Linked DNA regions of Drosophila melanogaster. The protein of the gene in region 1 interacts with the protein of each later gene in a pairwise test. Each region holds a gene or a part of one and is shown on either strand. Other genes may lie near its edges.

Evidence for each region.
Region 2: the proteins of CG16853 (region 1) and CG12994 interact in a two-hybrid assay, tested with the Drosophila melanogaster proteins (one large-scale study listed by BioGRID).

Annotation. Positions count from the first base shown.
Region 1 is NT_033779.5:13,540,422-13,544,275, reverse strand, and holds CG16853 (uncharacterized protein), read right to left. Parts: upstream 1,808-3,854; 5' UTR 1,625-1,807; coding exon 719-1,624; 3' UTR 716-718; downstream 1-715. Other genes in the region: CG9263 (uncharacterized protein), read left to right, coding at 1,808-2,096, 2,285-2,601; CG16852 (uncharacterized protein), read right to left, coding at 2,702-3,150, 3,212-3,476.
Region 2 is NC_004354.4:17,440,752-17,445,876, reverse strand, and holds the start of CG12994 (uncharacterized protein), read left to right. Parts: upstream 1-1,882; 5' UTR 1,883-2,069; intron 2,070-5,125.

The DNA.
Region 1 (3,854 bases):
CTGGCTGGCATTGCCTATATTAACAATAATTCCTTTGTACCCGGGCATCTTGCCAAAAAGTTGGCGACCGCCCTGCTCCTGGCACAGCAGGCGACGAACGTTTTGTGGCCAATTTCCCGTACCCAGAGGCCGACTTTTTGTGTGACCCATTGTCAAGTCAAGTCAAGCCGGACAAGGTCTATCCTCGCTCCATCCACTCATGCACCATTCTGCCACCCGCTATACAGAGCGACTTTTGTCTAGAGTTAAACTCAAAAAAAAATATATAAAAAAAATCAAGAAAAAGTTGGCGAAGAAAGGCAGTACCATTGCGGCAGCGGCGTAAGCGAACTGCAAACTTTGGAGTCCATGACAACCAGTAAAACTGCTGAAAGACCATTGATTGAACCTGGTCATGCGGTTTGCTTGCATTTCCAAAGTTTCGCAACCCGACTTTGTTTGAGGCAGCTTAAAAATAAACAGAACATGTATTTTAAATCTAAGGATATCGTTCATGCGGACGGACATGGCTAGATCAACTCGGCTAGGGATCCTGATCAAGAATATACCCAAAGGTGTTACTCGTATACAAAAAAGTCTTTGTTAAAATTAAACTATAATACAAGTTTTTACAAATTCAATAAGAATTCGATCACTATTTTTAACAGAACATTATATCACACATTTAAGATGTAAGCTAAAGAACCCGCACCAAAATAAAACTCAAGTTCCAATTAGATTAGAGAAGCTTTTGTTGGCTGCTATTATAGATGTAGTAGTACCCTCCGTTGAATCGCAGTGTGGCAAGTTCATAGCGCATGGTGCCGCTCACCGGATTGGCCACCACTCGCACCGGCGACGAGGAGAAGGTAAGAGTGCGGTAGAAGAAGGCAGTCAGGAAGCTGGCACTGATCACAAAGGCCACAAAAAAACCCAGACAGAAGACACAATCCTTGTTCACTTGCAGACAAAGACAAAAGGCTGCCACAAAATCACAGATGGAGCGTCCAATTCGCGCGCAGATCGTTTGACGAAGCTGGCGAGGATTGCCCGGCAGATTGTTGCCACTAATCGTGAATGTGTGCAGCGTGCGTTCGCAGGGCGGTGGATTCGGATCTGGTCTCAGGTCGGTCAGATCCAAACGCAATCGCTGCGACTGCGATGGCAACTCAGCGGTCTGGGTTCCCAGTTCGCGATATTTTGGAATTTGGACAATCACTGCCGGCTGGAGTTGCTCCCGGCCCTCCATTGCATCAGGAATCTCGCGTGAGAAGCGACAGATTACTTCCAATACATTGTGCAACTGCTTAGGAGATCCTGGCATTTTTGAAATACCTGTCTTGGTCTGGTGACCCTGATCATCTTCTGATTTCTGACCCTTAACTGCGGACTGAGCACTCGTGCTCGGCTCATCATCCAGCTCTGAAATCACCCGATTGTTCTCCAACCGATCCGCATTCGAAAGATGCTCCTGTGGGTCGAGTTGTGCAGAAGCCTCCGTCTCTGTGGCGCCTAAATTCGCATCTTTTAGATACACAACATGACCATGTTCAACGGCGGGTGGCATATATATTATAACTTGACGTTGAGAATCCGGGGATGACGACCTCTTGTCCTCATCGTTCTTATCCATATGATTATCCATTGCGTTGTGTTGAAAACTGGGAATTTTTTTGACCAGCTAATACAAAATTTGAGTGATAAATTCAGTTCCGGTGTGATAGTTGTCAACATCGTTTTGTATATGCCGAAATTATGTTGACTTCAGTAGCTTGTAAGACATTTTTCGATACTTTTCCAAATTTGATCTGTGGACGCTGTAAACTTAATGGCGTGCAGGGAGCCACCGCAGACTGCGATCGTCATTAACTTGCTAATTGGCGATTTGGTTCAGGATGCCGTTAACGAGCCCCGCAAACTGTCCGAGCAGAAGAACACCTGCCAGCGGCTCTTCGATATTTTGGGCTTTCAAGCCGACGAATGTTTTGAGGATTTGGAAGATAGTGATCCGGCTGCAACACACAGCTCGATCACCGTACGCACCAATTCAAAATCGAATCTAGGCGGAGCAAACAAACGGAATTGGTACGGATGGATGTCCAAGGCATTGGCGGAAGGTAAAAAATATCAAAATAATGCATAAACCAATCTATAAAAAAAAGATAGGAACTGTCTCTTGGAGTTGTCCTTGAAAACTCTGAAAAATAACACTACTGTCATAAATCCATAAACAGTTTCATTTTGGTGAAACCAGATGTCACCCGCATTTATTTAGTATAGTTACTATAACTGTATCAACCCGCAGAAAATTCGGAAGACGATGTTGAGATCTTCAGGAAGAAGGATAGCGATGTGCTCAAGGACATCCACTCGATCGGCGTGCAGACGGAACAGCCGCGCCGGCGCATTAGAGTTTGTCCTGTGGACTTTGCCCCGGCTTTGGCACCCTGCGAATCGACACGTCACACGATATTCATCGATGCCGTTTCCATGCAGATTCCAAATGCACTAGGTCGACCACCGCTGGCCGATCGTTTTTGCTATATGCTAACCGATTTCGCTTCGGCACTATATTGTAGTCTCGCCATCATGTGTTGTTGCACACCCAATATGTTGAGATAAATTAGAATGCGCAATGCTGGTTGGAACTCTGTTCTGCTAATTCTGTTTACTGCATTTTTACTCATACAATCACGTGCAAAACGAATCATTCTTATTACAATTATTTGGACGGCATGCCGACATTGGTCTGCAAGTTGCCATAAAAGTGGCTTAGTAAGAGGTAAAGGCACCACAGGCACAGGACAATGAAGAGTGCCACTGTTAAATTCTCGCCGATTATAGAGGCGAATGCGACAATCGTATCCGCCGTCTGCACAAGGACCTGCCACATCCTTTGGTGCAGTGGGGGTCTTTGCATAGCCGTGGCCGATGTCACCGACTCCACCTCGATGTGGATCGTGTGCTGCTGGATCTTGCTGGGCTTGTCCGTTTCGAGATCGATACCACCGCCGCGTACAGCCGCCAGCTTCGCCTCCAAATCCTTGCTATTCATATTACTCTCGTCCGCTGCTGTCCACGAAGTCTGACTACTCACCTCGCAGGTGGGCTTGATTGTGACATCCGATAGCCGCGAAAGACTCGATGATCTATGCTCCACGATTTGATCTTCTGTTAAGATATCAAAGGCTGTTAGCCCTTCAATAAGAACGGAATTATACATTTATCTTACCTTGCTTAATAGCTAACTCTTCGGATCGGAATCGCTTCATGCGGCTTGTTTGTCCATATTCACTCTTTGGGAGCTTGATGTATTCCTCAAACAAATTGCACTTGCTGATCTGCCTGTGGGTTAGTTGGTCCCTTGGAATCTGAACATCTTTGTGCTCAGCATTCCAGCCAATAGATGGCGCTCTGATGCTATCATCCACTCTTTTTTCTGCTTGTGCAGTTATAGAGATATCGTCTCCAGAAGTGTCACTTTTTGAACTAAGCATGTAGAGTTCTTCTAGTCGCTCCTTGCCTTTGTGATTCAATATGTTTTTCGTGTGAAAATCATGAGTGTGAGTTAAATTTATTTTCTACCATTTCTGTCATTTAAAATCAGTCTGGCTAAAAATTCGTAGCAAAGGGTTGCTTTATCATCTGCCTCAAACGACCATGGCAGACCGGCAATTGAGCCTCGTTGGCCAGTGGATAATTTTTGCGCTAAATTAAGCAATTTCCTTTCCTGTCTGGCCGGGCAAAACCAGAAGCTGCTGTCCATCGACACTTCAGGGTCGACTGTCGTCTATGGATTTTCCTGTCTAATATGACAATTATGACGGTCTACTGCACTAATGTTATTTTGCATAAGTGCATTTTAGGAACCAAAG
Region 2 (5,125 bases), on another chromosome or scaffold:
AATTTTTTTTTTCTTGTACCTGTTTTTTGTGTAAAACTTTGCATAAGCAACTAAGCAGGGGCTGGGTTTTCAGGGGGGGGCAGCGGCTATTACTCTTCATTTGTATGCTAGCGGGAGTGTGGGTGTCCGCTTTTTTTTCATTATTTCGGTTCGCTTTTTTGCGGAAAGAAAGTTAGCTGACAAAAAAAAAAAAAAAAAAAAAAAAACTGAGCTGGACATGGGGCAGCCGCCAATTAAATGTTTTGCTTTTGCCGCTTTATCGTTTTTGGCAATAGCGCAACAAGCCATGCGAAGTGTCGTCGAAATGCGACCGAAAACAATAAATAAGCACGAAACAAGCAAAGTCGAGCAAAAAGCGAGCCAACAGCTGCATTTCAATTGAATTTCCAGGCAGTGGGTCCAATATTGTGGCTTCCATGGGGGAGAAATTGCAGCTATTAGTGGCAATCTTGTACGAAAAGTTCGATACAAGTGGTGGAATTTGAAAATTTCATCAAAGTTGCTTAACTGCGACAAGTGGTGGAGTTGCTTGTATTAACTAATATCTACATCTTAACAAAAAAATAAAACTATAAAACTATTATCCAATGCTCTATCAATTTTTCAATCATTTCAATTTGGTAAAAGTTTGTGCGCAAACCTCTTTGAAAAAATATAATTTAAATTAGTTAAAAACTAATGACAAAAGTTGTGTAACTTTACAATTACTGTTAATTACCTAATTTTCCATGCTCTTCCTAATTCCGTATACTTTCTTTGTACTGCCAGCAGCGAGCCAGTTGAGCTGCACTTGTTGCTATGTGACTTGTGACCTGCCGCCACCTCCAGCCAATTAGCCAGTACTCATACGCCCTGTTGCATGCATAAACAGCACTCCAAATCAAAGCCGAGGTTCGGGCCAAACGGACGCCAGAGGAGCAACGGGAAGGAACAATTTTCTGCGGCTTAAGCTCACACTAAAATCCACTGCAAAATAACGGAAGCGAGTTCTCCTGTTTTTACAACATTTTAAAACATAAAATTAAGCCTGAGACTAAATCCACAGTGAATTATAGTAATAGTATTGAATTATAGTATGAACATTCGGTGTTTAAATTGTTAATGCAAAATAAGTATGTTGTAAAAAAAAAGTAAGGAACATAAGTTACATCCAAATATGTCACTGATTTAAATTTTCTTAGGTGTCTATTTTGCCAGTGTATGTACATAAAAAACTCATATGCACAGGTGTGGCAAGCTTGTGCAGGTGCAAATTGAGTTCACCTGAACGTTGACTTTGTGTCAAATGATATCACACGGAGATGTAAGAAGTCACTCAACGGCAGGCGAGGGTGAAGGACCACAAGGACACTGCCGCCTGACCGCCAAATACGGCCGGACACTAGGGTAATTAGCCGGACTTTCCCTGGACAGAGTGGCGGTCAGGTGTCGACTTTATCCAAAAGACAGGACTCAAGTCGACGCCTCGAAACGGTGGTGGACGCAAAATTGGTGTAGCTTCGCGGGTAGCTTACTGTGCGAAAAATGAAATTCCAAACGTGAGTATATTCCAACTTGTTATACAAAAAAAATATAAATATAGAAATGTAATCACAATATAATATTTAAATTAATGGTTTTCGACTTGCCCACGCTCGACTTTTCTGCCCCCGTGTGTGTGTGTGTGTGTGCCCAAACAGCGGGATATCCTGCCACGACTGTGTCCGCCGCTCCCTTGCATCCTTTTTGCGGGGCACTCGCAACTCGGAGATCCGAGATCCGAGTGCTCGGAGCCGAGTTGTACGAACTGCACGGCTTCGGGTGGCAGCATCATTTCCATGTGGCTGTGGCGGCCACCAGTCGCCGGATGGGCGCCTCAGTTCGCTTTTGTGTCGCCTTGTGGCAGGTCGCCTCCGCAGTCGGCTACTTGATATTCGATACCTGGTAGCTGCGCTTCGCCGTCGCTCATACGCCCCGTTGGCCCGGTACGAGAAGCACGCACAGAACGCTAGGAAAGTGCGCCAACTTTCGGGCAAACTGAACTGAATTTGAAAGTGCGGAAGGATAGGCGTTGTCTGGCCTCTTTGGAGGTGAGCGATTGTCATACCCGTTCGATTTATTATTTATAAACAGTGCCTCCGTTTTGCGGCGAAAACACTTTGCATAGTTTAGATGGGCCAAGTCGCCAAAAGCCATTAGCATGAATCTTTCATTTCATTACACTCTATTTTTGCCCTGGTCCAGAAATACGAATTATTGCAACAAAGATTTCCACTCCACATACGGCGTTTTTACGATTTTGTGAGCCCCTCGAGAGTCTTTATCCTTGTTTTCACCAAGTCTTGTCTGAGTTATTTGAACGTTTATCCCACGCGTGGTTAAGTCCTGCCAATGCCTTTGGCTAATACCCGGATACACTTGGCATGGCCATTACTTTGTCATTTAAAAGGGGCCTAGGTTTTGTGACCACAAATCAAAACAGGGGACTTAATAACAAAACATATGAATAGCAATAAAATGGGGATCTTCGGTAATCTAGTAAAGGCTATGAAACATAAATTAACAATATTTTAAGCCACAAAGTACCATTTTAACATGTAAATATTAGTTTTGTGTTACAAAATTAGAAGGTAATGTTATAAATCTATAATATAGTATATCATTAATTTGAAATGCAGGACTTATGCATTTCACATTTCTACATTTTAATTTGCAGTAAATGCTGAAGCATACCAACATTATATTAATTATGAGAGCTTAGGGTTATTGTCTCTTACTATTAATTGGTGTACACGTTACTTGATTATATGTCAACAAATATATTCCTTTATTCAAAATGAGCAAACATACTTATTATGAGAGGTAGGAATTGCTTAATGAAAGATTAAAGGCACAATTAATGGAAAATTCTTGGTATTTTAGAGGGATAATATTGTATGAACGGCAAACAAGTGGGAGGAGGGGCTTATACTATCAATGAATGCCAGCAATAATAGTTCCATTGTCACTTTCAATAATGGGAAGGACAATTGCAGGCGGCCCACACGTCGTATACTTAATATTTATGCCACATGGCTGCATTTTCTCATATTCGCACTCACAATTGTCGGGGCTCCGTCAGCGTTTCGGTAATCAGCCAGGTGAATTGCAACGCAGCTAACAATGCACCAGCCACGCCCCCGCGGCCCATTACACCCCATCCACTCCTACTGACTGATTGGCTCCAATGCGAGATGAAAAAGCTGCATAATGTCGATCCAATCATCCGTACCAGCAAGCTAAACGTGTGTGTCAGTCGAAAGGTGGCGGGGACTTGCAGATTGGAAAATGCAGAAGGAGGGTGATCGGAAAATGCTGAAAAACGCAGGAGCAGGCGTTGCCGACATCATGAAAAATTCATGACGCATGCCAAGTGATTCAGGGCGCCACCTGTCGAAACGCATGCATAATTGAAAACTGCATTGGCATCAACTGCAAAATGGCCAACGGCAGATGGAATCTGGGCAAACAGCATCCGTATCACTAGGAAAAGCCTCTATTAAATCATGTATCGCTGCCTTTTACCAGCCCATGTACATATATCAGTTTTTGGGTAAAGGGAAAGCAAAACATAGATCAGTATTATTCTAAACAACAAAGCTGACTTAAGGACAACATTCTTAAAATATTGCCTCAAGAAAAGACAAGAGTAAAACAATATTTCACAAATTGGAGGGTACTAGCACTTCGTTTATTTCGTTCTGAAAATTTTCGTATTGAAAATAAATTAATAAAATCATGAATATCCTTACAGCAATGTGTATGCTAATTTAGGCTGACGTAAAAGCTTACTATTATTCTTTTGTAGAATAACATGAGATACTGCTCGGCTAATATACCCCAAAAGTGTTTATGTACCATGCAATTAATTTGTGCATGTTTATGTTAGTATTAAAAATGCAAACCATATTAATGTTTACATTACGAACAAAGTGATTGCAATATTTTAAGCATTTATTGCTGCATTAATTCGTGCATTCATATGTAATATGATTATTCATATTTATATATTTTATATTATCAAATCCCTTGCTCTTAGCAATCCGCGGTACTGAGAGTGGAATAAATCGAGTGCTATGCAATCCAACTGTCATCTGGACAGCCCTACTCTTCCTACTTGAAAATATATATTTCCCTTTTTAACAACATTCTCTGTTGTTCGGTTGCTAACATAAAAAGTGCATATTGAAGGCAACTGGCTGGCTGGCTGGCTGGCTGGCAATAAATCTAACGATAATTTGATACGCAGCGTTTTACGATGCTTTCGGCGACCCAGTCGCTCGGCAAACCCCTTGGCCATCAGGAGGTTAATGCCCCAAGTCGGTTGTCAGCACTGTAAAGTGGCGGAGCCCTAAGCCCCGCTTCCAAAGCCCAAAGACGAGGGCCCTAAGCCCACAGCTCTAGCTAAGCCAATTAAATTAGACGTCCGACTGTTAACTGTTGCATATCTTTGGGGGCTTCGCTTGGGAATCGTGGGTTAATCGGGGGTTAAGTGAAGGGGTCGCTACTTACAACCAATTGGACGGCGTAATTCCCTAACAAGCAAACAATACGTTTTCAATTTCTGACAGTTGGCACAAATCATTTATTTAGTTTAATGGGCTAATTTACATTTCGAAAAATATTACCAATTAAAAATGAAGTGATTTTATTATTTAACTTTCTAAAATATTCTCAAAAAGCTAGTTATTTAGATATCCAAATACATTTGCGAGCTTGTAACTTTTTAGTTCCGAGTGCGTGACGAATTCCATAGAGAATGTGTCACTGTCAATGGAAATCACTTAAATCCGTTGGGAATTACTGCGCAAGAGGTTGCATGCAATTTTCGTCAAACTTTCTAATAATTTACAAATTATTTGGACTTCTTCAACTGCATTTCAATAGTGCTTGGTGAATTTGAGTAATTTGCAAGTTTTTCATAGAGAGAAATCTTTAGTTGATTGAAGTTTCCGCGAGGGGCAAGTCACCTTGTTCCGCATTTTCCGCATCCCTTTCCCCTTTTCTTTTTCTTGTAGACGTGCTTTTCCCAAAGGGCGACTTCAACTCATTTTGTGTGGGCTTTTGCACGGCCGAAGAATTTTCCCCGCTTTTCATGAGCTCTTTT